3 linked regions of the Macaca fascicularis genome follow. The protein of the gene in region 2 purifies or fractionates together with the protein of the main gene of each other region. This does not show direct contact. Links are inferred from orthologs where the notes say so. Each region holds a gene or a part of one and is shown on either strand. Other genes may lie near its edges. The genes, in order: AP3B1, AP3S1 and AP3M1.

Region 1 (10,270 bases), about 40 Mb from region 2:
AAACTCCTTATAGGCCAATAGAACTATATTAGTCTAGTCCCTTTTTGGTGGTAGATTTTTGGCAACGTTTCCAATTCTCTTCTATAGTTATTTAGTTTATTCAGGTTTCCTACAACTTTTGAATCAATTTTTATTTTTTTTTGAGACAGAGTCTCGCTTCTTTGCCCAGGCTGGAGTGCAATGGCACCATCTCGGCTCACTGCAACCTCCGCCTCCCAGGTTCGAGCAATTCTCCTGCCTCAGCCTCCCCAGTAGCTGGGATTACAGGCATGTACCACTACACCAGGCTAATTTTTGTATTTTTAGTAGAGATGGAGTTTCACCATGTTGACCAGGCTGGTGTTGAACTCCCGACCTCAAGTGATCCACCCACCTTGGCCTCCCAAAGTGCTGGGATTACAGGTGTGAGCCATGGTGCCCGGCCTTGAATTGATTTTTGTACACATTCTAGATAATAATGAGAAAATGTTAACATTCAGTATCTATAAAGTATGCCTGCAAATCAATAAGATAAAAGATCCACTTAAAAATAAGCAAGTGACAAATGTGCAAAATTAATAGAAGAAAAATTCAAATAGCCATTTGATGTGTGCTTTAAATCTGTTATATTTACGGTAACCATATATACCTATTTCCCTGGCAGAGTCCTGGTTTACATGTATTTGTCCAGTCAAATTATGACTAGTATCACTTTTTGTCTCGAAAACTTCCTATTTGGGGCTGGGTGTGGTGGCTTACGTCTGTAATCCCAGCACTTTGGGAGGCTGAGGAGGGTGGATCACTTGAGGTCAGAAGTTCGAGACCAGACTGAATAACATGGTGAAACTCCATCTCTACTAAAAGTATAAAATTAGCTGGGCATGGTAGCGCATGCCTGTAATCCCAGCTACTTGGGAGACCAAGGCAGGGGAATCACTTGATCCCAGGAGACGGAGGTTTCAGTGAGCTGAGATCACGCCATGATACTCCAGCCTGGACAACAAGAGCAAAACTTGTCTCAAACAAACAAACAAACAAAAAGAAACAAAAAGAAAACTTCCTATTTGGACTATAAATTTTACTGTCTCTACTTAGAATAAATGAGATGCAAGTGTAAATGACAGTAAAGATTTTATTATTATTACCAATCAGATTAGCAAACATTAAAAAGATTTATAATATACATTGCTGGAAAGGGTGTGTTGAAACGGAAAAATATTGGTGAAAGTGTTGGTATTCTCTTTTCAGGTTAGAAATTTGGCTATATCTACTAAAATTTCAATTGCGCATATCATTTGTTCTAGCTATTGGACTTTTGGAATCTTAACTAATGGGAATAGTGGTGGCATGGTGCAAAGACATGCATTGACAAAGTTGTTATAATAGTCCAAAATTGGAAACAATTTACATGTGTATCAGCAGGCTATTGGTTAAATAAATAAAGATGCACCTATGAAAGGAAATACTATGTAGATCTTTAAAACAGTGAGATGTAGTAACATGCAGAATGATATTATGGTTTTAACTGGTATTTGGAGAAATATGCACATCTATCATTTATTTTTCTACGCTTAGAGAAAAAAGCTTGAAAATATATACAACACATTTAACATCTATATCATGAAGGTTAGATGAACAGAAACGGAAACAGAAAATTTGATAAAGGTTTTATTAAGTATTAGGGGGAAAATAGTTTTTGAAAAAAAATATCCAACTTATTTGGCAGTAATACAAGACACTACATATGCTGGAAGGAAACAGAAAATCTGGTTTGGCTTGGTAACAGGTGTCAGAGAGTAATCTTCTAGTTCTGTTAATGTTTCTTCTGGTTGGAAGTGTGATTTTTTTCCTCTGTCAGAAAGCTTCATGGCTATATAAAAGATTTTTCAATTCTAGAGATATGGGAATGCTAGACCACAGCCCATGGAGTTATTATTTTTTATCTTTCTGTAAGAATATACAGTCTTAGAATTTTAAGGCAGTAAGGGCCTCAAGTCCCTTCTTGTCAATGCTCTCATTTTTTTTTTTTTTTTTTTTTTTTTAGTGATAAAAAGAAAGTTTTATCTATTTCATCCAGGAATATATGCTCTGTATCTTACACATAATATTCCAGAGAAAAAGTTACCTATACCTGTTTTTTGAAGAATAGATATTCTTAATATCCACACCATTCAAGGACAATGTAAAAACAAAACAAAACCCCAAAAAACAAACCCCCAAAACCCAAAACCCCAATATTGTAGGTCAGTCTCCTACCTGAGTCTGTGTGAAAAAATAAAAATATTACAAAGTAAAATCAAGCAGTTAATTAAAAATAACAGACTCAAGGACAAAGAACTCTTCAAGTCCATCAGAAAAACTACTCAGTGTAAAAGTGGATAAATAGGTTCATATGCAATTCCCAGGAAATAAAATGCAAATGGAGTAACCACATAAAATATTCTCAAGTTCATTATGACCATGAAAATGAAAATTAATTACCATACAAATAATATTCCTTCATATCATATTGATGACAATAAAACATTTTTAGAAAGCTAAACGTTTGTGAGAATGTGAAGAAAGAAGATTACACACTGCTAAAATTATGCTGGAAAAAAATTTAGGATATCTGGTAAAAGTGCACAAACTCTAAAACCAAGAAATTCTATAATCAGGTATGTGTCAGATATTTTCCAGGCTATGTGTATATCAATGTTCTCCTTTTACAAATAAAGTAACCAAAGCCTAACTCTTTTTACTATTAATATATATAAAATTACTTAGAATAGTTTGTGGTATATATTAAGGATTATATAATAATATATAGTTATCTATGATCATCCTCATCTTCATTATCAATAGTCAGTTGTAGATGAAATGTTATTAATTAACATCATTAATATTGACAAACACATTTTAGGTGATCATCATTGGATCTCCGGAGCAGTATTCTAACAGTCGAATTAAAAACCTGCCAATATTTAACCAGACGATGAAGTTTGGAGGACATTCCTTCTTCTCCCACCCAGAGCCACGCTCGTGCGTGCTTCCACAGTGACAGTCTGACCTTTTGAAACTTGGAGATCATACTTTGATCCTTGAAAACGCCCCACCGCCTTCCCAGAGGCTGCCGGTCTCCACGTTCGCGTTCTACCTGGTAGAATCCCTTGACAGTTTCAGTACCTGGCCGCCAAGGCTTTGGGAGTTAACGCCTACCTGGACGGGAGGCACTGGGGAGAAGAGAGGGAAGGCTCTGAAACCCAACCGAGAAGGCGGGCTGGGGGAAGTCACTCCTGGAAAGAGGTTTTCTCGGGTGCCAGCACCCGGAGAGAGCTACTCCGGGGCCAGGCAAGCATCCCGCCTAGGCTCCCTAGTGCATATTAGTGAGTGACACGACGGCGACAGGACACAGAAGTGTCAGATGACAGCTGCGCCTGGCGCGCAAGGTGGTCCATTTTATTTTTGGTAGCTAGACGCCAGTAGGACGCACCACTTCAGCTCTAAACTGGAACTGGTGGTCCCAAGATGTTTTCTGTTCTTTTTAATTTTTTTGAGACAGGGTCTCGCTCTGTCGCCCAGGCTGGAGTGCAAAGGCGCGATCTCAACTCATCGCTACCCCCTCCTCCTGGGTTTGAGTGAACCTCCCACCTCAGGCTCAGTAGCTGGGACCACAGGCGCGAGCCACCACGCCGGCTAATTTTTATATTTTTTGCAGAGACAGGGTCTCGCTATTTTGCCAAGGCTGGTCTCGAACTCTTGGCCTCAAGTGATCCGCCCGCCTCGGCTTCCCGAAGTGCCCTACTGGCGTGAGCCACCGCGCCGGTCTGCCTCCAAGATTTTCGTTGCAAGGATGGAATGGTCGCTTCTGTGCGGATCCTCCAAACCATCGTTGGGAGAGGCCTCCTTAAAGTCTGGGAGAAAAGTTGTTTCGGGTGGATATGAAAGTAAGGCAAAGCCGGAAAGAGGAGAGTAGCCGAAACAAGCAAAGTGATCGCGATGGGTTTAGGAAAGGTGATCTGGCGTGCTAAATGGCGTTTCCGGAGAAATCCGAAAACTATTGCTTTACAAAAGTATACTAAAGAGCTGCCCTGGGTCTGGAAACCCCTTAAGGGATCAAAATGGATGCAATGGGTATCCTTCTCCAATGACACCCCTCACGGGCCGGGAGCCTGGCAGTTCGCCACCCGCTGCCTCCCTTTCCGCAGCCAGGCTCGCAGCCGCTCAGCTACCTCTAAAGCCCGGAGCAGGGAAATCCGCGCAGGCCTGGACGGCCCGGGTGGTATCCTGCCTTCCCGCACACTGCGCATGCGCAGGGGGTGGACTGCTAGGTCGGCTCAGGGAGCGGTGACGAGTCCGGAAGCGCCTGCGCGCGCTCCTCGGTACGCGAACTAGTTTTGTTCGGTGCCCTCTGGACTGGAACCTTTCGGAGAGAACCCCCGGCAGGACCAACCCCGCACCCGCCAGCACCGCGGCAATGTCCAGCAACAGTTTTTCTTACAATGAGCAGTCCGGAGGAGGGGAGGCGACGGAGCTGGGTCAGGAGGCGACCTCAACCATTTCCCCCTCGGGGGCCTTCGGCCTCTTTAGCAGCGATTTGAAGAAGTGAGGAGAAAGGTTTGGGGTACGGGGATGGGAGGGAGGAGCTGGGGACTCGGAGGAGTGGGCGCCGGGTGGGCTCCCTGGAGTGGAGCGGGGTCGCCCTGAGATCTGAGCAGAGCTGGGCGGTAACGTGTCCCACGGGTGGGTGGGTGGGGTTGGTTGGCGGTGGTGGGAGTTGGGGGAGTTTGGGGCGTGTGTGTGTAGGGGTCTCTAGTAGTTTTCAAACTTTAGTGAAAAGGAAACCGCTTGGTGAGCTTAGATCCCACCCCTGAAGACACTGATTGAATTGGACTTGGTCTGGGCTCAGGAATCTGAATTTTGAGCATAGTCTTCTAAGTTTATTTATCGTTCGCCGGATCAGACTTTGATACATTCCCTGATTAGGGTGAAACGAGTGTTTTGGTCAAGGTGAGAGTGCGAGTGTTGCTTGTGGGAAGTTATTTTGTGACCCCGGAGTGTAGGAGGAGAGAGGTGGGTTTAGGCTGTTTGAATGGACAAATTGGTTTATACCAGTATCAGTGTTCTTGGATTATATCCTTTGCACTACAGACAAAAACACCAATCCAAAATAAGCATATGAATAGAAAATATTTTAAGAGTGTTACTATGAACAAATCCTAAACTTTTACAAATTAATAATGTGAAGTTTAAAAACGAATGTTAAGATACACTTAGTTTTGTAAAAAGTATCACCGAGAAATGGAAAGAAATCCCAAGTTGTTTGTTTGGGGGGTGGGATGGTGGTATTGGGGTGGTGGTAGTGGTTAAATTTACCACAATTATCATTTTTACGTTTCTCTTATTTTAAATCTTTCATTACTAAGCAATATGGTCACATAATAGTCTGTCGCTAAATTCACGCTAAATTAAGGTAGAATAGCTGTGCTGGTAGCTTTGCAGATATGTTAGAGGGTATAATTAAAATTTAAATTAAACGTTACTAACAATATTGGGTAGTCTAGAAAGTGCTACTACTTGAAATTGGGATTACATTTTGGCTGTATTGAGGATCAAAATCATATAGATAGTATGTACGATACAATATTTTCGTTTCCTTTTTCCCAGGTTAGAAAAGTTTAAAAGTAAGGTAACTTTTCATTTTCATTTCATATAATTTTTCATTATATGCATTTGGTGATCCATTGTTCTAGAGCAAGTACGGAGCTTGTTGCCTTTACTGTTAGCAAAATGTTTAGACTGAATTAACCTGTAAATTGGCATCAATCTGTTTTGCAAATTAATTTACTTTTATGGTTTGTGAACACCCCGTGAGGGGTGTCATTGGAGAAGGATACCCATTGCATCCATTTTGATCCCTTAAGGGGTTTCCAGACCCAGGGCAGCTCTTTAGTATACTTCTGTAAAGCAATAGTTTTCGGATTTCTCCGGAAACGCCATTTAGCACGCCAGATCGCCTTCCTAAACCCATCGCGATCACTTTGCTTGTTTCGGCTACTCTCCTCTTTCCGGCTTTTCTCTTATATTTTTGTCAGATTTGGGGCCAGGCACGGCAGCTCTCGGCTGTAATCTCAGCACTTTGGGAGGCCAAGGCGGGCGGATCACTTGAGGCCAGGAGTTCGATACCAGCCTGGCCAACATGGTGAAACCGCGTCTCTACTAAAAATACAAAAATTAGCCGGGCGTGGTGCCTCGTGCTTGTAATCCCAGCTGGAGGCTGAGGCAGGAGAATCGCTTGAACCTGGGAGGTGGAAGCTGCAGTGAGCCGAGATCGCGCCACAGCACTCTAACTTTAGTGGGTGACAGAGTGAGACTCCGTCTCAAAAAAAGAAAAAAAAAAGGAAAAAGATTTTTGTCAAATTTTGACCTGATTTGGAAAAAAAAACCCAAAAAACTTATGGCCATTGACTCTGTGACCAGTGCTCTTGAGGTGACCTAATAGGTTGGATTTAAAATAAAAGTAGCTAATTGATTAGAGGTGGTATGTAATATATGCAAATAACCATGGTTGAATTGTGTTCCCCAAAAGATATTTATTGAGTGTTTGTGGCACCACTTTACATTTATTATCTCATTCAGTTTTCTTAACAACCCTGCAGGTTATTACCAGCTGCTCCCACTTTACACGTGAGGAAATTGGAGCGTGATCGTTAACTTGGGAAAGGCCGCAAAGCTAGAACATTGAACTGCCTGAATTTGAACTCAGAGGCTCTAATATTAGAGCCCATTCTCTCAAAAGTTTCGATGTCTACTTACTACTTGATGAAATGTATGGTATTTTTATTAGTGAGCGCATACAACTCACGAAAGCTTTAAAACTTTAAATAGCTCTAAGTAGTACCACCAGAGAAGCTTCCAGGGATTAGAAACATTTGGCTGTTGACCTGCAATCTAATGGAATTGTACAGAAACAAGGAGACCCCTGTTCTGGAAATGGTCATTAAATCTCTCTTGAGTCCACATTTTCTCATTTATAAAACTGTAATATTACTTGCCTTTTAAAAAAATCGAATGACATAATTTATGTAAAAAACTTGAAGCTCACCCTGTTTCCTCAGCTCTGGTTTTTAATGGTTTACTCTGATGAAATAGTTTCAAGTTTACAAAAAAGTTGCAACAATAGCACTGAGAGCAACCCTTTTGCAGATTTACCAATTAAAAAAATTGCTACATTGCTTGCCTACTGTCTCTGTCACTCACTCTCCCCATGCATATTCAGGCACATATACGTATTCATGTTATGTGTCTTCTGAACCATAGGAGACTCGGTTGTACACATCATGTTCTTTTTTTTTTTTGAGACGAGTCTCGCTCTGTCCCCCAGGCTGGAGTGCAGTGGTGCAATCTCGGCTCACTGCAAGCTCCGCCTCCTGGGTTCACGCCATTCTCCTGCCTCAGCCTCCCAGGTAGCTGGGACTACAGGCGCCCGCCACCACGCCCGGCTAATTTTTTGTATTTTCAGAAGAGACGGGGTTTCACCGTGTTAACCAGGATGGTCTCAATCTGCTGACCTTGTGATCTGCCCGCCTCGGCCTCCCAAAGTGCTGGGATTACAGGTGTGAGCCACCACGCCCGGCCCCTACATCATGTTCTTTTAAACTTAAAATCTCAATGTGTAACTTTTAAGAACAAAGATAGTCTCTTACGCAACTTACAGTGTTGATGGATTCAGGAAATTTAATGTGTGTACAATCTATAGTATGTAATCTAATTTTATCGTTTGTTCCAATAAAGGTGTTTTCTTTTTTCCCAAGAATTTTTTTCCTCAAGTACAGGATCCAGTCCAAGATAATATATTTAATTTAGTTGCCATGTCTCTTTAGTCTTCTTTAATCTGGAGTAGTTCTTGAGCCTTTTTTGTCTTTCACGACCTTGACATATCTAAGGATTGCAAGCCTATTATTTTATTTTATGTTAATCAATTTTTGGGTTTGTTGGTGTTTCCTCATGTTTAGATTCAGGTTATGTATCCTTGGCCGGAATACTACCATAGGTGATGCGTGCTTCTCAAACTATTACATTTGGAGGCGTAGGGTGTCCATCTTCATGATGTTAATTTTCCTAGTCACAGGGTTGTCCAGTTTCTCTATTGTATCATTTCTATTTTTTTTTTAATCAAATTATCTGTGGGGAGACACTGAGACCATGCAGATGTCTTGCTCTTTTTTAAATTGACCACTTCTACATTTAACAACCATTGATCAATCTCCTGAACCTGTCTTCCTCAATGGCTGCAAAATGGTAATGTTTCAGCTGCAACTCCCTCTACTGTTGTGCTCTTTGGCTTCTTGGCCTAGAGCTCTGTGTTCTCTGATCCTTCACTAACCATCTCAATGATGCCTAGGTACTTCCTAGTCATAGTATTAGATTTTTGTTTTATGAATTTAATCTTATTTATCAGTATTATTTATCCTCTCCTCCCTTCAAACAGAACCAGAACTAGATGACTTTATGAAAGTAGATCCTATACCTCATTTATTGACTAAAAAGGCCTGTGTATTAGATTATTTGCTTCAAGATTTTTAATGTCTTTATTTAAAATGTAAAGAACTTATTTTTGTACTCTCATTTTTTATTTTTTGAGACATGTCTTACTCTGTTGCCTAGGCTGAAGTGCAGTGGTGCAATCATGGCTCACCGCATCCTCAACCTCCCGGGCTCAAGTGATCCTTCGCACCTCAGGCTTCTGAGTGGCTCAGACTACAGGTTCATGCCACCATGCCCAGCTAATGTTTGTATTTACTGTAGAGATTGGGTCTTGCCATGTTGCCCAGGCTAGTCTTGAACTCCTGGGCTCAAGCAATCCGCCTGCCTCATCCTCCAAAAGTGCTGGAATTACAGGCGTGCACCACTGTGCCTGGCCCCTTCCTTCTTTTTGAAATGTTCTCAACTTCTATTGTTTCTGTTTTTTTCTAAGTTATTTTTCTTCATTAAAAAAAAACAAACTTCTTTTATCTTAACCAATTTGGGTATGTGTGCGTATAATTAAAAGTAATTTTAATAATTCTATTACTGGATTAAACATTTAATTAGGAATTAATTTCTAGAAACAAACAGACAAGACTAGTTAATTTTTCTTAATTTCAATAGTAAAGCTACTAAAGTTGTAAATCTCTTTTCTTTTAAGAGCATCATGGTGTATTAGAAAGGACATGAGGCTGGGAGTGGTGGCCCCTGCCTGTAATCTTAGCATTTTGGGAGGCCCAGGCAGGTGGATTGCTTGAACCCAGGAGTTCCAGACCAGCCTGGGCAACATAGTGAGACCTTGTCTCTATAAATAAAAACGGGGAAAAAAACCAAAAAACATTGGGCCCAGAGTCAGAAGACCTGGATTTAAGTTGATGTTTTCCACTTGTAGTAGTGCTTCCTTGTTCAAGTTGCTGATCTCTTCAAACTTCGGTTTCCTCATTTCTAGACAGGATGTGATAATACTTGCCTCTTTTGTGAGGATCTCATAAGATGGTGTACTTCAAAGTGATTTCTAAACTAGGGTATTAACTAACAGTATTTGGGAAAGTTGGTGAAGACTTCACTGAGGTAGTGACATTTTAGATCTTGAAGCCTGAGGTTTTTGCCAGGTGGAGGAAAGATGGATCCTTTAGCTAAGCAGAGTATGTAGAAACCAGAAGATTTGCAAAAGAAAAAGCATGTTCAGATGAGGTGGATATTTAGACATCACAATTTTGAATAGTAGGCAGTAAAGTATGGGAATGGATGAAATCACCCAGGGAAGACTTCTTTTTTTTTTTTTTTTTTTTTTGAGACAGAGTCTCGCTCTGTCACCCAGGCTGGAGTGCAGTGGCCGGATCTCAGCTCACTGCAAGCTCCGCCTCCCGGGTTCACGCCATTCTCCTGCCTCAGCCTCCCGAGTAGCTGGGACTACAGGCGCCTGCCACCTCGCCCGGCTAAGTTTTTGTATTTTTAGTAGAGACGGGGTTTCACTGTGTTAGCCAGAATGGTCTCGATCTCCTGACCTTGTGATCCGCCCGTCTCGGCCTCCCAAAGTGCTGGGATTACAGGCTTGAGCCACCGCGCCCGGCCAAGGGAAGACTTCTTGTTAGATGAGAAGGCAGTTTAGACAAAACCTAGGGGACACCAGGATATAAAATATGAATGGAAGAACTAGAAAAAGAGACAGAGCTCACAGGGATGGGAAACTATGGAAAGGTTTAAAAAAGAGGATGCTAACAGGAAAATTAAAAGAAGGAAATGTTCAGCTATGTCAGGAGTTGTAGAGTAAGGACAAATAGAA
Region 2 (10,462 bases):
CTGGGATTACAGGCATGAGCCACCGTGCCCGGCCATAAAAATAAATATTTTTTTAAAAGTTTAGAAGAGGAAATAGCAGACCCTTGTTTGCCTACCCACCATCCACTCCTTTCTTTAATCTTTCCAACAGAATATCCATTTCATTCCCGTTTGCACTCTCATCTTCAGCTCCAATCCAAGGTTAGATCTTGATTAGGGTAAGCTATTAATATTATTGGTCTTGGGTGGGTCTAAGCAGAATGAAGAAAAAGACACAGTCCAGGACTGCAGAAACAGATAGTTGTCTCTTTCTGAATTGAATTGATTACCACCAATTTCAAGGAGAAAAACAGCCTTTGGAAATAGTAATTTTGTGATGAGCAAAGCAGATAAAGAAAAAGAAATTGGATCTACAATAAAGTCATCGATTTGTTGAATCATTTAATTTTGGAATCCGTCTACTACTCTGCACTTCCTATAATGTACCTCACATAGTTCTTTCTAAACATTTGAGTCAGGCTACATAAAACCCAATTTATGCAGACAAATGCATTATAACTAATATGGAAGGAAACCAAATCGTATGGAATTTTCTTCTTAACAAAAAGCTGAAATGCCATGTGTTAATACGTGTTAACACCCTCATACTCAGCAGTGTTGATAATTCTATCTTGATCACAGACTTAAGTTTAATTATCCCATCTGCCACAATGTCTTAATAGTCACTAAAAAAAGACATCAGTGAACATGGATGGATCTTTTTAAGGGATATTTTTAAAAGAAAAAATGTTATCTATACTTTCAATACTTTGTATTTTTATGCTAAAAATTTAAAAGAAAAACGGGAAAGAAGAATCTTAGAGTTTCTCCTAAGGCTTGCATTTGGTTAACAGTTTAATTAAATATAGTTTATTAAAAAATTGAGGCAACTCATATACATTAACTTGAAAATTTTCCGGCTTGTACTTCATATATGTGTGGTGTGTACGCACACATGCATATATACACATGGTATTTTATATCTGCAGAAACTACTAAGATAATCCACACAAAAGAAAGACATTTCCACTTTATAAAAGTAATTCACAGGCCAGGCATAGTGGCTCAGATCTTTATCCCAGCACTTGGAGAGGCCAAAGTTGGAGGACTGCTTGAGGCCAGGAGGTTAAGACCAGCCTAAGCAAAGTGAGACCTTTTCTCTATAAAAAAAATTTTTTTTAAGTAATTCACCAGAGGATACACTATGGAATCATAACCCAAGAGATTTTTTTGTTTGATAGCTATGTAAAAATATATTTGGTTTATAAGATATAAGTCTCATTAGTTATTTACAGTAACGCACAAATACTGTTAGGCAAGTATTAAAAGACTAAAGGTTACTGCTGCCAAGTCGCTGAAGCTACGCATCAACTTAAAAAGACAAATGAAGAAAAATATTTGAATTTGTGCAGTCATAGACCAAGGATATAGAAGGCAAAAACAAAAAGGGAGGCATTCTGAGTACAGACTGGAATTTTTTTTTTTTTTGAGACGGAGTCTCGTTCTGTCACCCAGGCTGGAATGCAATGGCACGATCTCAGCTCACTGTAGCCTCTACCTCCCCAGGTTCAAGCAATTCTCCTACCTCAGCCTCCCGAGTAGCTGCAATTATAGGCGTGCGCTACCATGCCTGGCTAATTTTTGTATTTTTAGTAGAGATGGGGTTTCACCATGTTGGCCAGACTGGTCTTGAACTCCTGACCTCAGGTGATCCGCCTGCCTCAGCCTCCCAAAGTGTTGAGATTACAGGCATGAGCCAAGGCACCCAGCCCACACTTGAATTCGTAATGTCTAACTCTAGCAGAATGAACCAAAACTTCCGTTTAGCAAAACAGGTGTGTGACTTCATATTTCTCACATATAGCAGCTTGGAGCCACAATTTAATCTAACAATCCATTACAGCATGAAATGGAAATGTGCACTGTTAAAGGGCAGATGAATATATAAGTTGTTATATTATGAGGGAGATAAACGAGGAATGAAAATGCAATGCAGTAGCATAAACTTGTTGGCAAAGGGTTAAACATTTTTCAAATGGCTTAGTGTTAAACCATTACTGTTGGACTCAAACCTCAGCATCCTGCCAGCATATGGAATCGTTAGCTCAGTCACATCCCTAGATATTGTTCAATAAATTAAACTCAAAATTTTTATTCATATTGGACATATACGTCTTAGAGACCTCTTAAAACAGAAACAGCTGAGTAACAGGTATTCCATCACTACTTTTATGCTAAAGGCAGAAATTCGTAAAACCTCTAGTTAGTGAAGGACTACATTTTAAAAGACAGACGGAAACTCAGGAAGTCAATTCTAATCCAAACTCTATCCCAAGCTAGGAGATTCTAAATAAATGCATTTAGCAAAGAGTTAGTTTTCTATGTTCAAGCCTCAGTGTTGACTGCTAAGAATGACACAAATATCTCTAAAATCTCATACGTTCCTTCAAGTATTCTATAGGATGGCTGCCACGAGGAATTACAGGCTGTGAACAAGAATATTGTGCCATAACAAAGATAAAAAATAAAATCCTAAAACACAAGAGGAGCCTTTGAGCAAGATCAAAGGCTTCACAGACTGTTTAGGTGACGTTTGTGCTGGGCCTAGAACAAGGGGTTGAATTTGTACACGTGGCAACGGAAAGGAAGGACATTCCAGGCAGCAAGAATAGAATGACGCCCTACACAGACACTTTCAACTCATGTTCCCTTACACAGTCTGCTCCTGCTATGTAGAAATTCCTGGGGTTCTTCCAACAGGCACTCTCTTCAGGGTTTTTGCATTTGCTGCTCCTTGTACCTGGGATGCTCTTCCCCTAGATATCTGGAAGGCTGCCTTTCTTACCTTGTTCAAGTCTTTGCTCAAATGCTACCTTCTCAGTGAGAACTTACCAGACTATCCTATTTTCAACTGTCATCCTCTCAGTCTCTAAGACTGTTCCGTGCTTTATTTTTTTTCCACAGCACTTAATACTATCTGGCATGCTATAATATAGCCTACTCCTTAATAGCTCTATCTATGTTTCTCAAGCAAGGGCAAAAGTTATCTGTTCATCTTCAGATTTTAAAACTGTTTCTGCATATGGTAGGCATGAATTAAATATCTGTCGACAAACTGATGGAATGAATGAATGAAAAAAAAATAACTGTCCTCAAAAAGGTTATGGTCTAGTGGAGGAAGCAAATATGTAAATAATCTTAAATTATTCCCGAAAGACAAAAAAAACCACACTCAGCAAAACCCAACTTATAGAAACTTAATACACAGAAACAACTTCTCATACTCCACTTATACATGGCCAGTGACCACCAGATTCTTCTTTATATATCTTCTAGCTCTCTGCCCTCAGTGGCACTGTCACTCATACCATGGCCAAAAATGCCACCAGAGCTGCCACTGCTGCCAGAACTGCCTCTTCCCACATTAACCGTCACTGCTACCTAGTGAGTGATGGTAAACAATACTTCTGTTCCACTTTTGGACAAGGGAAAGGCAGATTCCTGAGTTTCTAAATTAAATGCATTTTTCAGTAGATAGTTACATTCTATACTACACGAATAGTATACACTGATTATATGGATTAGCCAGAAAACCCACTGTTTTGAACATTGCTTAAGTTTAGATATGGAAAAATAATTTTTTGAATTGTTTCACTATTGCAACATACCTTTTTTATACTGCAAATGGATGACACTGGCAAAATGGTTATGAAAAAGATTCCTTCAATAAAGGCCGGTACTATCTTTTAACAAACAGGTAAAGTTAATGGCATTTTTTTCACTCGGGAGGATCAACTAGAATTTAAGCTGGATTACAGAATGATGTAGAATTTTTAAACAGACCATCAGTATTTAAGTTATACTAAATTAAAACCACACAGGAGTAGCAGAAAATATTCTTTATAGCTAGCAAAAGCAAAACAACTGAAAAAAAAATGAAGAATAAGCTCAAGATTTCTCACTTCAACTAACACCTCCACAGACTGCATTATCATTTTAGGCAAACTGACATTTTAACATTTACTTTGTAACGGCAAGATTGATTTCCATCTGGGACTTATCTGCATAAAAGTGTTAGCCTTGGCACAATTTCAAAATTGAATTGAAAGCTCATTTCTGGCTATAAGCAAAGTGCCACAATACCACACAACAGTTACACCTCACATTAATCCTACCACTGGGAACCCAATTTTATGTGTTTCAGCTAGTGAATTTTCGCTCAGATGAGCACATACCTCTATAAAACCCTTCCTCGATCATCAATAAATCACTTATCTCTACTACCTTAATGCCTCCTGCACTTGTCCATACTAAACAGTATTCACACATCTAAAAGAGAAGTTCTACAAATGCTACTATTCTTCATAAATAGAAAAAAACTATAAATGATGGCAAATTCCCATACGTGGAAAAATGCCAAACCAGAAGCTTAACTTTTAGGTATAGAACCTAAAACTTTTAGGTAAAGAATCATAACTTTTACGTATAGAACCACAGTTCCAATCACTCAACTACAAACGTCGCCGGTTACTTCGAGGGTAAATAATTTGCAGCCAGCTGCTAAAAGGCCTGATAAAAACATTAGGTCCTCACGTATCTTCCTCTTTAATAAGGAGGCACCTGAAAGTCACACTGGGCAGTCGGTCACGTATCGAAACATACAGGAGAGAGACTGTACAGAGCGTGCAGTTATCAAACGCAGGAAGCCAAAGTTCCTGCCCTATGAGAGGATTACAGTGAAAACCAGTAGCCCATCTGTCCAAAGAACAGAAAGAAGTCCACTTGCAAAGGCTGGGAGTCGGGGAAGGGGGGCGAGAAGAACAAGTCCCGCCCGGTCTTCCTCCTCCCGAGCTAACTGCAGCCGCGGGCGGCACAAGGCAGTCGCGCGGGATTGGCTCTTGGGGCCGGGGCGCAGGGCTCCGGGGCGCGGGTGGGCTGCCGCTGCCCGATCGGCGAGGGCCAGGCACCGGGAAGTCTCCAGGGCCTCGCCCGCGCAGCCGGGAAGGCACGCAGCCCACCGACGGGCGGAGGAACCGCCCGGGCAAAGCCACGTCGGTGGCTGACCGCGCGGCAGGGAGGTGGGCACCCCGTCCACACCCACCGGGAGGCTGACAGCCGGCGAGAGCCAGGCGGCCAGGATGGGAGAAGGGCCGCAGCGCGCCGGAGGGGGTCGCTCTGAGGAAGCCGCGCTGGGCGCTGCCCGTCGCCAACGACTCCCCCTCGCCCGGATCAGCAGCAGCTGGATACTCACGTAGGGTTGGTAGAACTTGGAGAGCCGCGGCTTCCCGTGGTTGTTGAAGATTAGGATCGCCTTAATCATGGCTGTGCCTGGCCGACCGGGTGGGCACTGGGGGCCAGGGCGGGGGCGGGCGCACGAGCCTCGCCTCGTAATCTCGCCGGCGATCCTTCCCCACCCGCCCCCTCCCGTACGCGCCCGCGCGCGCTCCCGTGTCGCCGGGCGGGGCCCGAGAGGCGGGGCCTGGGCGGGGCAGGCACTGAGGAAAGCGGAAACATTTGTAGGTCCGAGCCAGCGGCCCAACAGGGGAGTGTGCGCATTCGACCAAGCACGAAGACGTTGCCCACCTCTCCTTTACTGAGGTCTGTAGTCGCGGAGAAACACATGTTGCGTTATTAACGTTCAGAAGTCTGCCACAGCTTCGATTTGAATGACTTGCCAGGAACACCAAGTTTCACTGTGGAATTGGGTTCCCCTTCTCCGGCGCCTCCTTTGCTACGCTCTCTGGAGAAAAAGCACGCCCACTGCACGCGCTCAATCGCTACTTCCGTTCTCCAATCTCTCCAAGCAAGATGGCGGAGGAGCCGCAGTCCATGTTGCAGCTTCCTCCCTCAAGTGCTGCTGGAGGGGAAGGACCTACGGAGGTCTCCCCAGAAACAACCACCCCGGAGCCCCCGTCTTCCGCTGCAGTTTCCCCGGGAACAGAGGAACCTGCTGGCGACACCAAGAAAAAAAGTAACTGAATTTATTTCCGGGCAGAGAGGCGGGAGGTTCAGATTGCATCCGACTGGGGGTGGCGGCCAGTAAAGAAGCAAAATTTAGAGGAACTCCCGTCCTAGACCTGCATTTTGACTAGTCATCAGAAGAAGTGTACTTTTTGATTTTTAAGGCTTATGAGTTGAGTGTTAAAATACTATGTCTGTCGGTGTAGGTCCTGATACTTGGCTGCCACACCCCTTTCTATATTCTTTGAGTTGGCCAGACTGCAAGCTCTTTGAAGGAGGGAGGGAGCTGAGTGGGGGTTCTCGGTAATTCCAGGTACTTAACACAGGAGCTAATTATTTTAATAATGTTTTAAGGTGGTAGGGATGGTCACTGGCAAAGCCTGGATTAGAATTCACGCCTTCCGACTTACTCGCTTTTTTGGTTTTTTCCCCCTCCCAGTTGGTTGTGAATTCGCTCCTTAAACCAAAAACCAAATTCTTACGCAAAATGAAGACTGCTAAGGGAAAGCTAAAGGCATAGATGTTACCTTTTTAAGAAACACATTTTGGAACCTTTTTGAGTTATTTCATTGCTTGAACCAGCTATCCTCAACCCTTTATTGTTTGAGAATGTTTTCCTTTGTAAAAGAGATTTCCAAGGTTACGTGTTCTAAAGCACTCTCTAGAGTTAGAGTTGCCTATGAGAAAAGCAGCATATAAGCATCCTCGATTCAGAGAGGCTGATTTTGTCCATAGACAAGTTTTCCGCGTTCAGTCTTAAGATGACAGTGGTCTCTGGCAGGGCGCGGTGGCTCAGGCCTGTAAATCCCAGCACTTTGGGAGGCCGAGGCGGGTGGATCACCTGAGGTCAAGAGTTCGAGACCAGCCTGGCCAACATGGTGAGACTCCGTTTTTACTAAAAATATAAAAATTAGCTGGGCGTGGTGGCGCGCGCCGGTAATCCCAGCTACTCGGGAGGCTGAAGCAGGAGAGTCGCTTGAACACACGAGGCGGAGGTGGCAGTGAGCGGAGGTCGCGCTGTTGCACTCCAGCCTAGACAACAAGAGCGAACTCCACCTCAAAAAAAAAAAAAAAAAAAAAAGACATTGGTCTCATTGCCTTTTCTTCAACTTCTGCTGCTGTGGAGGATAATTCTCTCCCAAGACTGCCCCCCTCCCCCTTTAAGTCAGACTCCCATTTCCACGTGATGCACTGTGAGACTTTTCATGGATAGCCGCTAGAATCTTTCTTCAAAAGAATTCCGCAGGTTTTACAGTTTTTTGTTGCGTTTTTTCTTCCAATGTACTATAGGCAAGAGCGGACTTTCCGAGATTCGTTTTAAGGTCTAACAGTCTTAGTCAAAAGCTTATTACTTGACCCTGATGATAGCTGTGTGAAAAGCTAAAAAAACAGTGGCTTACAATCGAAATATTGCTCGAGGGCATATTTTCTTGGTCTGAACAGTATTTTTTGCAAATTGAACTGTCATTTAAGGATCAGATTTTTATTTTCTGGCTCTTGTTAGCATTTGAGTTTGCCTCTCCAATATAAAACTTTCTATTCCTAACCTATTTCTAACTATTCCTACCTTGAGGTTGTCATCATTTGTTGAGGATAATCTGATGAAAGCAGCTTAACTGTTTTGTATCCTCAGCCTTTGTTTTAATCTACAGAAGAAAGATTGTTGAAACAGACCAAGGTTTTGGCACTGGCGGTATGTTAGGTTACCTGGGGAGTAAGTGTTTTCCTAGTTGATTCTAATGTGTATCCGGGGTTCAAAACTACAGGCAAATTACCTTTAAAATTAAAAAGAGAGGGCAACTGTAATTAAATTATTTTCCTTCTCTAGTTTCTCACTGTCTTACACTTCTTCCTGAGGTAGCATAACTCATGATATTTTCTGCTTCACTTTCTGGAAATGTTTAATTGCGTTAATCGATTTACTGATAGCCCCAGGGGATTGAGGGAGCAGTGAAGGGAGGTATGAAAGATAGGATAAATAAAATCCCATGTTTTCTCCAAATACATTCCTATTCCCGAGATAACTGGGCCTAGGATAATTAGTTCTTTAGTAGGAAGATAAAATGTGCATGCATCATGTGTTCTAGATGCCTTCATTCCAGGGGTAAACTTGAATAAATTGACCTCTGATCTTTCGGCTCCAACATTTAATACCAAAAGAATGGAGCAAGAAGGGTGTAGTAGAGTAGAGTTAACTTTAGGGGGCAGCAATACACTATTTTGCTTTCAATGTGTCTTGGTTTTTGACTGCAGATGTCTTTTTTTTTTTTTTTTTTTTTGAGAGGATGTCTCAGTGTGTCACCCAGGCTGGAGTGCAGTGGCGCATCTCGGCTCACTGCAACCTCCGCATCCCGGGTTCAAGTGATTCCCCTGTCTCAGCCTCCCAAGTAGCTGGGATTACAGGCATGCACCACCACCCCTGGCTGATTTTTTGTATTTTTAGTAGAGACGGGGTTTCACCATGTTGGCCAGGCTAGTCTTGAACAAGAAGTTGGAAGGGGACTGGGCCCTCTTGAACTCCTGACCTCAAGTGATCCTCCTTCCTTGACCTCCCAAAGCGCTGAGATTACTGGCGTGAGCCACCTTACGCGCCTGGCCAGATGTTTGTTTGTTTGTTGTTTTTTAGCAAATAACTTTATTCAAGAGACAGATTCATAGGGTTTGGATTTGCATATCTGTGTTTTGGATCATTGAAACCTTAAGATTTCTCTTTCTGCAACTTTTTGGCCTTTGGTGGTTCTATTATTGTTCATAACTTACTGCTTTCCTTTATTGAAAAGTTTATTACAGAAAATTTGGTAGTTACAAAAAGCATAAGTAAAACCAAGTAACCATTGCCTACAATGTCACTAATGAGAAATAACGTTTTGGTGCATATTCTTCCATATTTATGTGAATGTGTTTTTGATGGTTTCTAATGCATTTGAGATATTATACATGCTGTTGGAGAGATTAAATATCCACATATATACCCAGCAAATGGCAGAGCCAGGATTTGAACCTCAGGCAGTTTAAAGTATATGCTGTTTACTACATTCCATTTAATCAGTCACCTCCAAATATCCTTTGGATATTTAGGTTTACCAGTGTTTCATATAAAAATAAATGCTTAAACGGAGGTGAAATGTTTTTAAGTGAATTTTTACACATCTCGTATTTTCTTAGACTAGATTTCTAGAAGTATTATTGAATCAAAGTATACCTTTATTGGGATCTGTATTACCATATTGCATTCCACAAAGAGTGTACCATTTTACATTCTCAGAAGTAATATCTACACTGGTAATTATTTTAATTTTAAGTAGTTTGGTGGGTGAAAAGGGACATGACATTATTTTACTTTGCTTTTTGTGAACTTAAATATTGTTTTTGTATTGATCATTTGTATTCTCTTTGGAATTGCCTGTTAAGATAAAATGCATTTTAAAAATTAGTCCTGTTGGGAGAACTTCGTAGGATCAAGAAAAAAATTACGGAAAAGAATCTAACATTTTTATACCTCTCACATATCTTCAGTATCATAAATACATAAGATGGATGTAGATTAAATATTTCTGATTTCTAAGTCTTTTATATTCCATTCTCTTTAGACGTTTTCATGTAATTGTCAGTAAATTTTATTCTTTTACAGTTGACATTTTGCTAAAGGCTGTGGGAGATACTCCTATTATGAAAACAAAGAAGTGGGCGGTAGAGCGAACTCGAACCATCCAAGGACTCATTGACTTCATCAAAAAGTTTCTAAAACTTGTGGCCTCAGAACAGTTGGTATGAAACCAATAGTGACGTTTTCCTACAAAAATTTTCAGTAGTTCCTAGGCAACAATGAATTAACTGTTGTTTATAGAAATGCATATGGAGCCACATATGTTGCTTTTGTTATGCCCTTTTATCCTTTTATTTTTATTTATTCATTTTCTTTGAGACAGTCTCGCTCTGTTGCCCAGGCTGGAGTACAGTGACTCACTGCAACCTTCTCCTGGTTCAAGCGATTCTCCTGCCTCAGCCACCCGAGTAGCCAGGATTACAGGAGTGCACCACCATGCCTGGCTAATTTTTGTGTTTTTAGTAGAGACGGGGCCACCTCAGAAGTGCTGGAATTACATGAGTGTGCCACTGTGCCCTGCCTTATCTCTTGTTAGTGGAGTTTATATACTTTATCAAAGGATTCTCTGGGGAATTCTGAAATGAAATGTTTTAGATTTGTTTTACAATGTGAACCATTTTATTTATGCCTCCTGTATTGTTTTCCTCAGAAAGTCACTGAATACCCGTGCAGAAAAATCTATCATAGAGCATTACAATATCTGTACATTACTACAAAAGTTTTGGATTTTTTCAATTTGTTTTGATAGCAGTTACTTTTTTCCTATTTTTCTTGAGATAAGCAATGTATCTTTGCCATATATTGTAAAAGAACTAAGAAATATTTCATGTTACAGTACACATTAAGCACTTCACAGGGGCAGTTGTAGTAAAGGTT
Region 3 (9,513 bases), on a different chromosome or scaffold from region 2:
ATGCCCCTGAGCAATGTCTGTGCTAGGGAAACTTCCCATCCCATATCCTGCCTCAGCCCGCCAAGGTAGCCATCCCATGAACACACTGTGTCCTGGTGCTCTCTCCCGCTGGAAGGGCAGAGTAGCCAGGGTGTGGCCCTGCCATCTTCTCAGCAGGGCCACTCCCGGCACTCAATGCTTAGTCACTGCCTGCAGAGGTCTGTGCTGAGGCCTTATCATTCATTCTTAGCTCTTAATTGTTCATTTTGAGCTGAAATGCTGCATTTTAATTTTAACCAAAACATGTCTCCTATCCTGGTTTTTGTAGCATTCCTCCACACCCTTTCTAAACAAGATTTTAAAGACATGTAGGTGTTTGTTCATCTGTAGCTCTAAAAGATCCTTTTTATCCTTTTAAAATTCAGTCCTAAGAATGAGTGCTTGTCCCCTAACAGTGTTTAATGGCAAGGCAGCCTTGTCCGAAGGACACCTCCTGCCTAAAGGAGAGTGGTATTTGCAGACTAGAATTCTAGTGCTGCTGAAGATGAATCAATGGGAAATACTACTCCTGTAATTCCTACCTCCCTGCAACCAACTACAACCAAGCTCTCTGCATCTACTCCCACGTACGGGATTCAAGAGAGTAATGGGTTTCATATTTCTTATCACCACAGTAAGTTCCCACTAGGCAAAATGAGAGGGCAATGTTTCCTTTTTGGTACTTATTACTGCTAAGTATTTTCCAGCACGTGAAACCTTATTTTTCCCCAAAGCCAGAACCAGATGAGTAAAGGAGTAAGAACCCTTGCCTGAACATCCTTCCAGCTCACCCATCACTGTGTGTTAGTTCCCAACATCGAATGTGTAAAACTTAAGTTGGTCCTGTACACTCAGGCTTTCACTATTTCCTTTAAAATGAGGATGTTTATTTTCAAGGCCCTCAGCATATTTGTATAGTTGCTTGCCTGATATAAATGCAATATTAATGCCTTTAAAGTATGAATCTATGCCAAAGATCACTTGTTGTTTTACTAAAGATTTACTTAGAGGAAATAAGAAAAATCATGTTTGCTCTCCCGGTTCTTCCAGTGGTTTGAGACACTGGTTTACACTTTATGCCGGATGTGCTTTTCTCCAATATCAGTGCTCAAGACACAGTGCAGCAAATTAAAAAAAAAAAAAAAAAAAAAATCCCTGAATGATTAGAGAATCACCGCTAAAAAACTACATTTATAAGCTAGGATTTGTTATATGCAAATATTTTCTGCCTCTTCTTTTGTTCTGTTTAAAACAATAAAATGCATTTGTATAAATAATGCTTTCAATGATGGGTATGTTATTTTAGCAAGAACTTTTAGGTCAGGTTTCTCCTTTGTTTTGATGAAGAGCCAATGAAACTAATCCTCAAGATCTGGAAACTAAAGATTTTATTTAATCCAATGTTGTACTGGAAGAAGAAATCAACGGTGGTATATTTACTTAACAAGGATGTGTGTGATACAAGACAACTATGGGGATTACACACTTAAAGGAATGGAAGTGGCAAAGGTTAACAGTAGGCAGAAAGCAGCTGGATGAAACAGTTTGTTTTCACCTTAGAAGATTCTAGCTATCTGTGGAGACCATCACTGTTCCCTGAAAAGCTAAAGTTGTTAAGTTTGTAGGAGTACCACAGGTCCTTCCTCCACTGCAAGACAGAGTCTTGCTCTGTTGCCCAGGCTGCAGTGCAGTGGTGCAATCTTGGCTCACTGCAACCTCTGCCTCCTGGGTTCAAGCAATTCTCCTGCTTCAGCCTCCCATGTAGCTGGGATTACAGGCGTGCACCACCATGCCTGGCTAATTTTTGTATTATTAGTAGAGATGGGGTTTCACCATGTTGGCCAGGCTGGTCTTGAACTCCTGACCTCAAGTGATCCACCCACCTTGACCTCCCAAAGTGCTGGGATTACAGGTGTGATCCACCACGCCCGGCCACACAGGTCCGTTTTTCATATTCCAAAGCCTAGTATAGAATAAATAGGGTTTTCAGGGATCCACCAGGAAAAAGCCCTTATATGGGCCATAAGGCAGAGATAGCTTTGGGGGACACAGTCCTCTTCTTCCTTAAAGAAACACTGACTAAAATAGTAGGAGCAGGTTTTTAGAGTTGGGACATCACTGTTTTTGCCTGATTTTCTAGATCTGAAAGGGTTAACATGTAATTAAAGGGTGATGATATTGATATTTAGTGTTGCCAACTGCTGTTATCACTGCTTTATCTTGGAAAGTTGCCAAATATAAAGATAGATTCCAGCCTGTTTGAGTTAAAGCAAAGTTCAAGGCTACTACTGAATTAGCAGAACTGTCTTGTTTTTGCCATTTACCATATGTTCACTGGTGCTGCCTTCCTGCTGCAGTATAATCATTTTCTCAAATCACTTGCCGCTTAGGACAAGATCAGCATTTTCTTGATCTTGTTCTGTATTTGTTCCTGATTTTCTACTGTAGCACCACTTAAGAAATGAACCTATCACAGGAACTCCCTTTGGATAAAATAATGTGACTCCCACACACTGGAAATAATCATCTACTTCATTTGTTCTTGATATGCTTCCTTATGAATTTAGAACTAAGGGATCCAGGATTAGCTGTAACTCTGCTTGAAAAATATTTTACTACTACTAAGTATTCAGGAATCTTTGTTATCAGTAGGTGGTGGTAGTGATAGAGAAGGGAGCTTTGATCACTAATCTCTCAGACTGTGGCCAGAATGGTGATGCTTAAGCCAAGTATGAATGGCTATTAACATAACGAGGTTAGGGAAGGAGTGCTGAGAAGTGCTTTGCAGCAACACTCACAGCTTGTGTGATGATGCAGAAGAAAATCTGATCATGTTCATCCTGCTTTGACAACGAGCCTTGCCCATTGGAGAATGTTCAATCAATAGTAGACCTAAAAAAAAATCAACTTGTTGCTTTCATCTTTTTATTGATAGCATAGCCAGAGCTACCGAAATGATTTACGGGATTCTAGCAAATTAATAAATACAGTAATTTGATTGTAAAAGAAAACATTCTATTTGGACATTTTAGTAGAAATTGCTAGAAGGCAGGAGCTCCTGGCATACATTCTACTTGGATAGAAGAGAAGATAGCACAGGAGGAGAACTGGACAGTCCAGGTATAGACTGTTGAGATTAGGGATTCAGCAGAAAGCGAAGCAAATGTTCTGATTGTTCTTTTGAGGTACAAACCCTGAAGAGTCAAGACATTAAAAATAAAAAGCAACTGAACTGGGTAGCTTAACTTAGGCAAAAGGAATAAATATTTGGCAACATTTTGACTATTTGGCAGTTCTGTAAAATAACTGCCAATCTGAGATTAGTTTCTTCAGAAATATGGAAGCTGCAAAACGTTGCCTTTCTTATGCCATGAAAGACAGGGCAGACAAAGGTAAGAAAGCTGCTCCGTGGGCTCCTTGTACCAGCACCAACCAGCAGCCCTTGACAGCACAGATGGCATGAGTGTAAGGGCTATCCTTAGCATAAGGAAAAGACGGTTATAAGCTGAGAAGACTGAAAGAAGAATGGAGCTATAAAGAGAAGAAAATAGCATAAATAAGAAGGAAACATGAAGAATATCTTAACTTTCAGTCTTTCTCCATTTCTTGATGTCTAATGAGGCAAAAAATAACTGGGCAAGGACCACCAAGATGAAGAAGTTACATAAAATGACACAATGAAGTTGAGTGCAATAATACAACTGTTGACTGACTTTCCAAAACCATGGTGATCAGTACAGTATCATCAGTGTTACTGAGGATTTTGTTTCTGCCTCATTATAACTCACTTCCATGTATTTTGTCAGTATAGTAAGTATATTTAAGCACTCCAGTGACAATTATGACAATAGTTTCTGGAAGAAATCTATGACTATAGCTTTGGGAAGCACACAATATGAAAAGGGAATTTCCCCTAAAGACAAGGAATGCAGGCAAATTCAACCCCTTAAGAACAACAAAAAAGGTAAAAGATTTAGAAAGACTGATGACAGTGAGGCAGGCACATTTTCCTCCTTTTGCTGAACTGGGGCATGAGACATTTAGGTTAACCATGGCTTAACTGGTGTTGGGTAAGCTTTATATTATAAAACATTAAGATGGCAAAGGTTTCACTTAAGTTTTTCTTTTACTACTTTAATTTGCTTAAAAGCACAAATGCTTGTGCTTGCAGTAACTTCCTGAAAGCAGAAGTAATGTTCCCTTTTACTACCTTAATAAAGCATTTGCCCCTGTGATACAAATGATTTTTTTACTGTGCTAACAGCTGAACCAGTGGCACAAAATTGAGATGGTATTTACTGCAGCAAGGTCCCTGTAAATCAAATAAGCTTTACATAAAAATCTTATTTATAAAAAATACAATACCAAGTACAGAGAGAATGGAGCATGGAGCAGCAGTGCTCCCTGCCAGGGCCATGTGGAAGTGGCTTTTGCTACAGTGCTTGCTTAATGGCACAAGTGAAAAGCTGAATAAGGCAAACACTTGAAGAGGCAGTTTTCTGTAAACTTCTGGGGGTGGGGGGAATTTCCTCTCTTGGGACAGATACTGGTTTGGGATGGCTAAGATCACGTGTGATATTTGGCTGCACCTGACACATCAGAGATTTAAGATAGCTTCTGCTGGATGAGACCAGTTAACTCCTTTTAGGAGAGAGGTTATCACTATAGCTTTCTGCCTTTACTGTTACAATGTGCAGCCGTCAGATGGTATTCTCCTATGGAAAAAAAATCACCTCCAACATCTTCCTAAGTGAAAAGATACAAAATAAGCTAAGTCACTAAAAGGTTTCCTTAGCTTAAAGCTCCTTAAGAATCCTACATTGATAACTAAGCAACTTTGTTAGCGGTGTGTAGCTAGACACAAATGCTTTAACTAGAATATCTATTCCCACCCACTTGGTACCTAATAGTAATACATCATAATGACACTTGGAAAACAAACTGGTCTTGAGAAATTTTGGCCTCTTCTCATGTCCTCACTTGGAACTTTCCAGCTTTCGTGACGTATTTGACTCCTTTAAATGGCTTATATTTCTCCCCATACATGTCCAAACGGTTCACTTTTAAGCCTGTGTCAAAAAGAATGAAAAAGAATAAATTATCATCATCCCAACCAATATGTTAGCAATGAGCACTATATGGTAAATCTGACATTAACCAGTGTCCCTTCCACCATTTGGAAGAAATGTCTCTTCTATCATTTACAAATTATTGCACTTTGATGGTATGGTTTTGGTTAAGATTCACACACAGGCAGGGAATGTCTGTGAAGTATAATTCTACTTTCTATTAATATGAATAACTCCCTTTTTGGTGCTTGAATGAGGGCAGAGGTGAGGAGAAGCTGTTTGAAATAAGGTGTTCTCCAAAATCATTTGGTTGATGCCTGGGAGATGGCCCCACCAAGCACAGTGTAAAAGGCAAATGGGCTACTGCTCTTTCTTTTCTTTTTTTTTTTTTTTCTGAGACGGAGTCTCGCTCTGTTGCCCAGGCTGGAGTGCAGTGGTGCAATCTTGGCTCACTGCAAGCTCCGCCTCCCGGGTACACGCCATTCTCCTGCCTCAGCCTCCCGAGTAGCTGGGACTACAGGCGCCCACCACTACGCCTGGCTAATTTTTTGTAGTTTTAGTAGAGACGGGGTTTCACCGTGTTGACCAGGATGGTCTTGATCTCCTGACCTCGTGATCCTCCCGCCTCGGCCTCCCAAAGTGCTGGGATTACAGGCGTGAGCCACCGCGCCCGGCCAAAGGGCTACTGCTCTTTCTAGAGAGGGAAACTTTTGTTACTCTTCTAAGTGCCTAATAATTGAGCTTGCAAAACTCAATTACCCTTAACTACAAGTCAACCTTATCCTTACCTGAAATAGCAAGCTGCTGGATCTTAAACTGTATATTGAGGCTCGGATTCTCTTCTGGTTTGGGGGCTCCAGACTGTAAATTTACCAGTCCTTTAAGACTTGGGAGCTTTTGTGGAGTAATTTTTCCCACATCCCATGTTAGTACCTTAAAAAGACAAAGAATGAAAAACAAATAGAACCATTTATTAAAGACAAACCCTCCAAAACAAGGTTCAAAGACATCATAAACTTCTGTATCATAAACTTCTGTAAAAATGAAGTGCAGTCTCTTGAAAACAAGAGATCTGGGATCTACAGTGAGTTTACCTCTGATTAGCTCTGTGACTTTGAATGGGGAGTGAGGACAGAGAATCTACATTTGTTGAGCATTTTCTTTTGTATTAGCACCGTGCTTAGCACTATTCATATGTTATCTCATTGAGGGCTGTGAAGTAGCTTTTGTCTTCTATTTACAAATGAGGAAATTAAGGCTCGGAGATCAAATGACTTGCTCAAGGTTACACAGCTAGTCAGAGGTAAGGCTGGGATTTGAACCTAAGGCTCTCTGATTTCAAATGTTCTCCATCATACCATCTTCACTACTTTTCTCTGGGCCTGTTTCTTTTTCTTTTTTTTTTTGAGACAGAGTTTCGCTCTTGTCGCCCAGGATGGAGTGCAATGGCGCAATCTTGGCTCACCACAACCTCCGCCTCTCGGGTTCAAGCAATACTCCTACCTCAGCATCCCAAGCAGCTGGGATACAGGCATGCGCCACCATGCCTAGCTAATTTTGTAGCTTTAGTAGAGATGGGCTTTCTCCATGTTGGTCAGGCTGGTCTCGAACTCCTGACCTCAGGTGATCCGCCCACCTCGGCCTCCCAAAGTGCTGGGATTACAGGCATAAGCCACTGTGCACGGCCTCTGTTTATTTTTCTGTAAAATAATTAGATTGACTTAAGATGGTGTTTTTAAAACTTTTAGCTGTGAAACTCATTGTTCAAATGAAATCTTAGGTGTGGAGGCTCAGCAGCAGATGAGAAAGAAAGCAAAGCTGTCATAGTTGAAGCTGTGGTAAAGGGCCAGGAATCTGAAGCTCCCTTTCTCAGCCCTGTGTGGTCTCCAGGAGGTTCTTTGAATCCTTACAACTGCATTAAATAATCTTTAACATCCTATGATGTTATTCAAAAAACATGTCTTTTCATTTATCAGGTAGCTCAATGACTCTGCTATTGAAAACAATCATATTTACTAGCTAATCAGGAAGCTGAGAGAAAATCATCTGCTACAGTTTCTCTGAAAACCCTCTGCTACAGGAAAATTTAAGTAGGGTGAGGAAGCAGCTTTCCTAGCCCTGTGAAAGAGTATGAAATGATGCTTTTAAATTAAAAAGGAAGAAAAAGGTCTTAATGATCAATTTATATAGAAAACTTAATAATTCATATACCATCATAATATCTTCTTCTACATAATGTTTTCTCTTTTTAAAAAAGCTTTTACTTCTTTCTTATTAGATAGCAGAGGCTCTGGATTAATAATGGATGAGTGAAGGCACATTCTGAAAAAGGACAGAATGACACACTTTTCTGTTCATCTGCTCAGTAGCAGCTGCAGGATTCCTTTGGCAGCCAGTGGCAGAAGCACAGCACAGTATACTCTCTAGGTTTTGATACGAACTTTAGTTTTAAACAAGGTGCTAAACCTTTCCCTCCATTCCTCCCCACAAATCACAAAATAGATTGCAGAAACACTTGCTCACTCTTGATTTGAAGTGGCTGTACCTTGGTGACTGGATCAAATGTATAGCTGCCTTGTGTGGTTGTCAGGTTCATGTTCAGCACAACTTTTGGCATGTGAACTGTCACTGTAATTCCTTCAATAGTTTTCCCCATATTCTGCTTTGGTCCAATTGTTATATCAAATCTGCCACAAGAACTGTTCTCTTTAAAGCTGATACTATGTTTCACATACACTGGTATTGCCACTAGACTAAAAAGAGAAACAGAGAAAGATACAAAAGCATAAACACAATTAATGGTGTGGGGAAAGCATCAGAGGTATCCTGAAAACCTCTGTCCAGAGTATCCTACTGTACCTTTAACTCCACAATAAGGTGCTACAGAGTTGGCTCTCTGTAGCCACAGTTATGCATCCTTGAATTTGACCAGTTGAGGACTGAAAATATTATTTAACACTATCGGCCAGGCGTGGTGGCTCATGCCTGTAATCCCGGCACTTTGGGAGGCCGAGACCGGCGGTGGGAGGGGATCACCTGAGGTCAGGAGTTTGAGACCAGCCTGGCCAACATAGTGAAACCTCATCTCTACAAAAATACAAAAATTAGCTGAGGCTGGGTGTGGTGGCTCACACTTGTAATCCCAGTACTTTGGGAGGCTGAGGTGAGGAGTTCAAGACCAGCCTGGCCAACATGGTGAAACCTCGTCTCTACTAAAAATACAAAAATTAGCTGGGTGTGGTGGCTTGTGCCTGTAGTCCCAGCTACTCAGAAGGCTGAGGCAGGAGAATTACTTGAACCTGGGAAGTGGAGATTGCAGTGAGCTGAGATTGCGCCTCTGCACTCCAGCCTGGGCAACGGAGCGAGATTCCATCTCAAAAAAAAAAAAGAAAAAAAAAAAAATAACAATACAACTACAAAATATAATAAAAATAAAAAGTCAACCTGGTATAACAATTATTTACACAGTGTTTACAGTGTACTATCACAAGTAACTTGGAGATGATTTTAAGTACCCAGGAGGATGTGCATAGGTTATATGCAAATACTACACCATTTTATATAAGGGACTTGAGCATCTGCTGATTTTTGCAACCAATCCTCCAAGGATACCAAGATGGCGGTACCTCCAGAACTGCAGATTCAGCATCTACACAAGGGGGAGCTGAGTATAGCATAATGTTCTGGTACCACTGTGCTGGGAACTGTATACAAATCAAGACAGAAATCTGAAGTTTAATAACAGTATAAACAATTGGGGGTGGCTGGGTGCAGTGGCTCATGCCTGTAATCCTGGCACTTTGGGAGGCCAAGGCAGGCAGATCACTGGAGGTCAGGAGTTTGAGATCAGCCTGGCCAACATGGTGAAACCCCCTCTCTACTAAAAAAAGTAACAAGAAACAAAAATTAGCTGGGCGCGGTGGCGGGCGCCTGTAATCCCAGCTACTTGGGAGGCTGAGGCAGAAGAATCACTTGAACCCAGGAGGTAGAGGTTGCCATAAGCCAAGATCACAGAATTGTACTCCAGCCTGGGCGACAACAGTGAAACTCCGTCTCAAAACAAACAAACAAAAAAACCAAAAAAACATAAAACAAACAAACAAAAAAAAAACAATTGGGGCAAATGGCCCTAGTTTAAAAAAATGAATTACGATCCCACTGAAAAATAATGTAAAATATGTTTTATATAAATGAAAACAGTTCCTATGTGATGAGTCAAGAAACAGGCTGGGTGCGGTGGCTCACGCCTGTAATCCCAGGACTTTGGGAGGCTGAGGTGGGCGGATCACCCAAGGTCGGGAGTTCGAGACCAGCCTGACCAACATGGAGAAACCCTGTCTCTACTAAAAACACAAAATTAGCCGGGCGTGGTGGTACATGCATGTAATCCCAGCTACTTGGGAGGCTGAGGCAGAGAATCACTTGA

Evidence for each region.
Region 1: the proteins of AP3S1 (region 2) and AP3B1 fractionate together in Homo sapiens (co-fractionation; 5 studies listed by BioGRID and IntAct, counting the BioPlex papers as one, with this or other methods). This does not show direct contact. The link is inferred for Macaca fascicularis from reciprocal best matches to the Homo sapiens genes AP3S1 and AP3B1.
Region 3: the proteins of AP3S1 (region 2) and AP3M1 purify together in Homo sapiens (co-immunoprecipitation; 4 studies listed by BioGRID and IntAct, counting the BioPlex papers as one, with this or other methods). This does not show direct contact. The link is inferred for Macaca fascicularis from reciprocal best matches to the Homo sapiens genes AP3S1 and AP3M1.

The regions. Positions count from the first base shown.
Region 1 is NC_088380.1:82,257,643-82,267,912, reverse strand, and holds the start of AP3B1 (AP-3 complex subunit beta-1), read left to right. Parts: upstream 1-4,316; 5' UTR 4,317-4,435; coding exon 4,436-4,563; intron 4,564-10,270. UniProt on the Homo sapiens protein: Subunit of non-clathrin- and clathrin-associated adaptor protein complex 3 (AP-3) that plays a role in protein sorting in the late-Golgi/trans-Golgi network (TGN) and/or endosomes.
Region 2 is NC_088380.1:122,426,711-122,437,172, reverse strand, and holds the start of AP3S1 (AP-3 complex subunit sigma-1), read right to left. Parts: upstream 5,443-10,462; 5' UTR 5,339-5,442; coding exon 5,270-5,338; intron 1-5,269. UniProt on the Homo sapiens protein: Part of the AP-3 complex, an adaptor-related complex which is not clathrin-associated. The complex is associated with the Golgi region as well as more peripheral structures.
Region 3 is NC_088383.1:72,314,152-72,323,664, reverse strand, and holds the end of AP3M1 (AP-3 complex subunit mu-1), read right to left. Parts: intron 7,841-9,513; coding exon 7,633-7,840; exon of another isoform or gene 7,611-7,632; intron 6,021-7,610; coding exon 5,876-6,020; intron 5,088-5,875; coding exon 4,987-5,087; 3' UTR 2,930-4,986; downstream 1-2,929. UniProt on the Homo sapiens protein: Part of the AP-3 complex, an adaptor-related complex which is not clathrin-associated. The complex is associated with the Golgi region as well as more peripheral structures.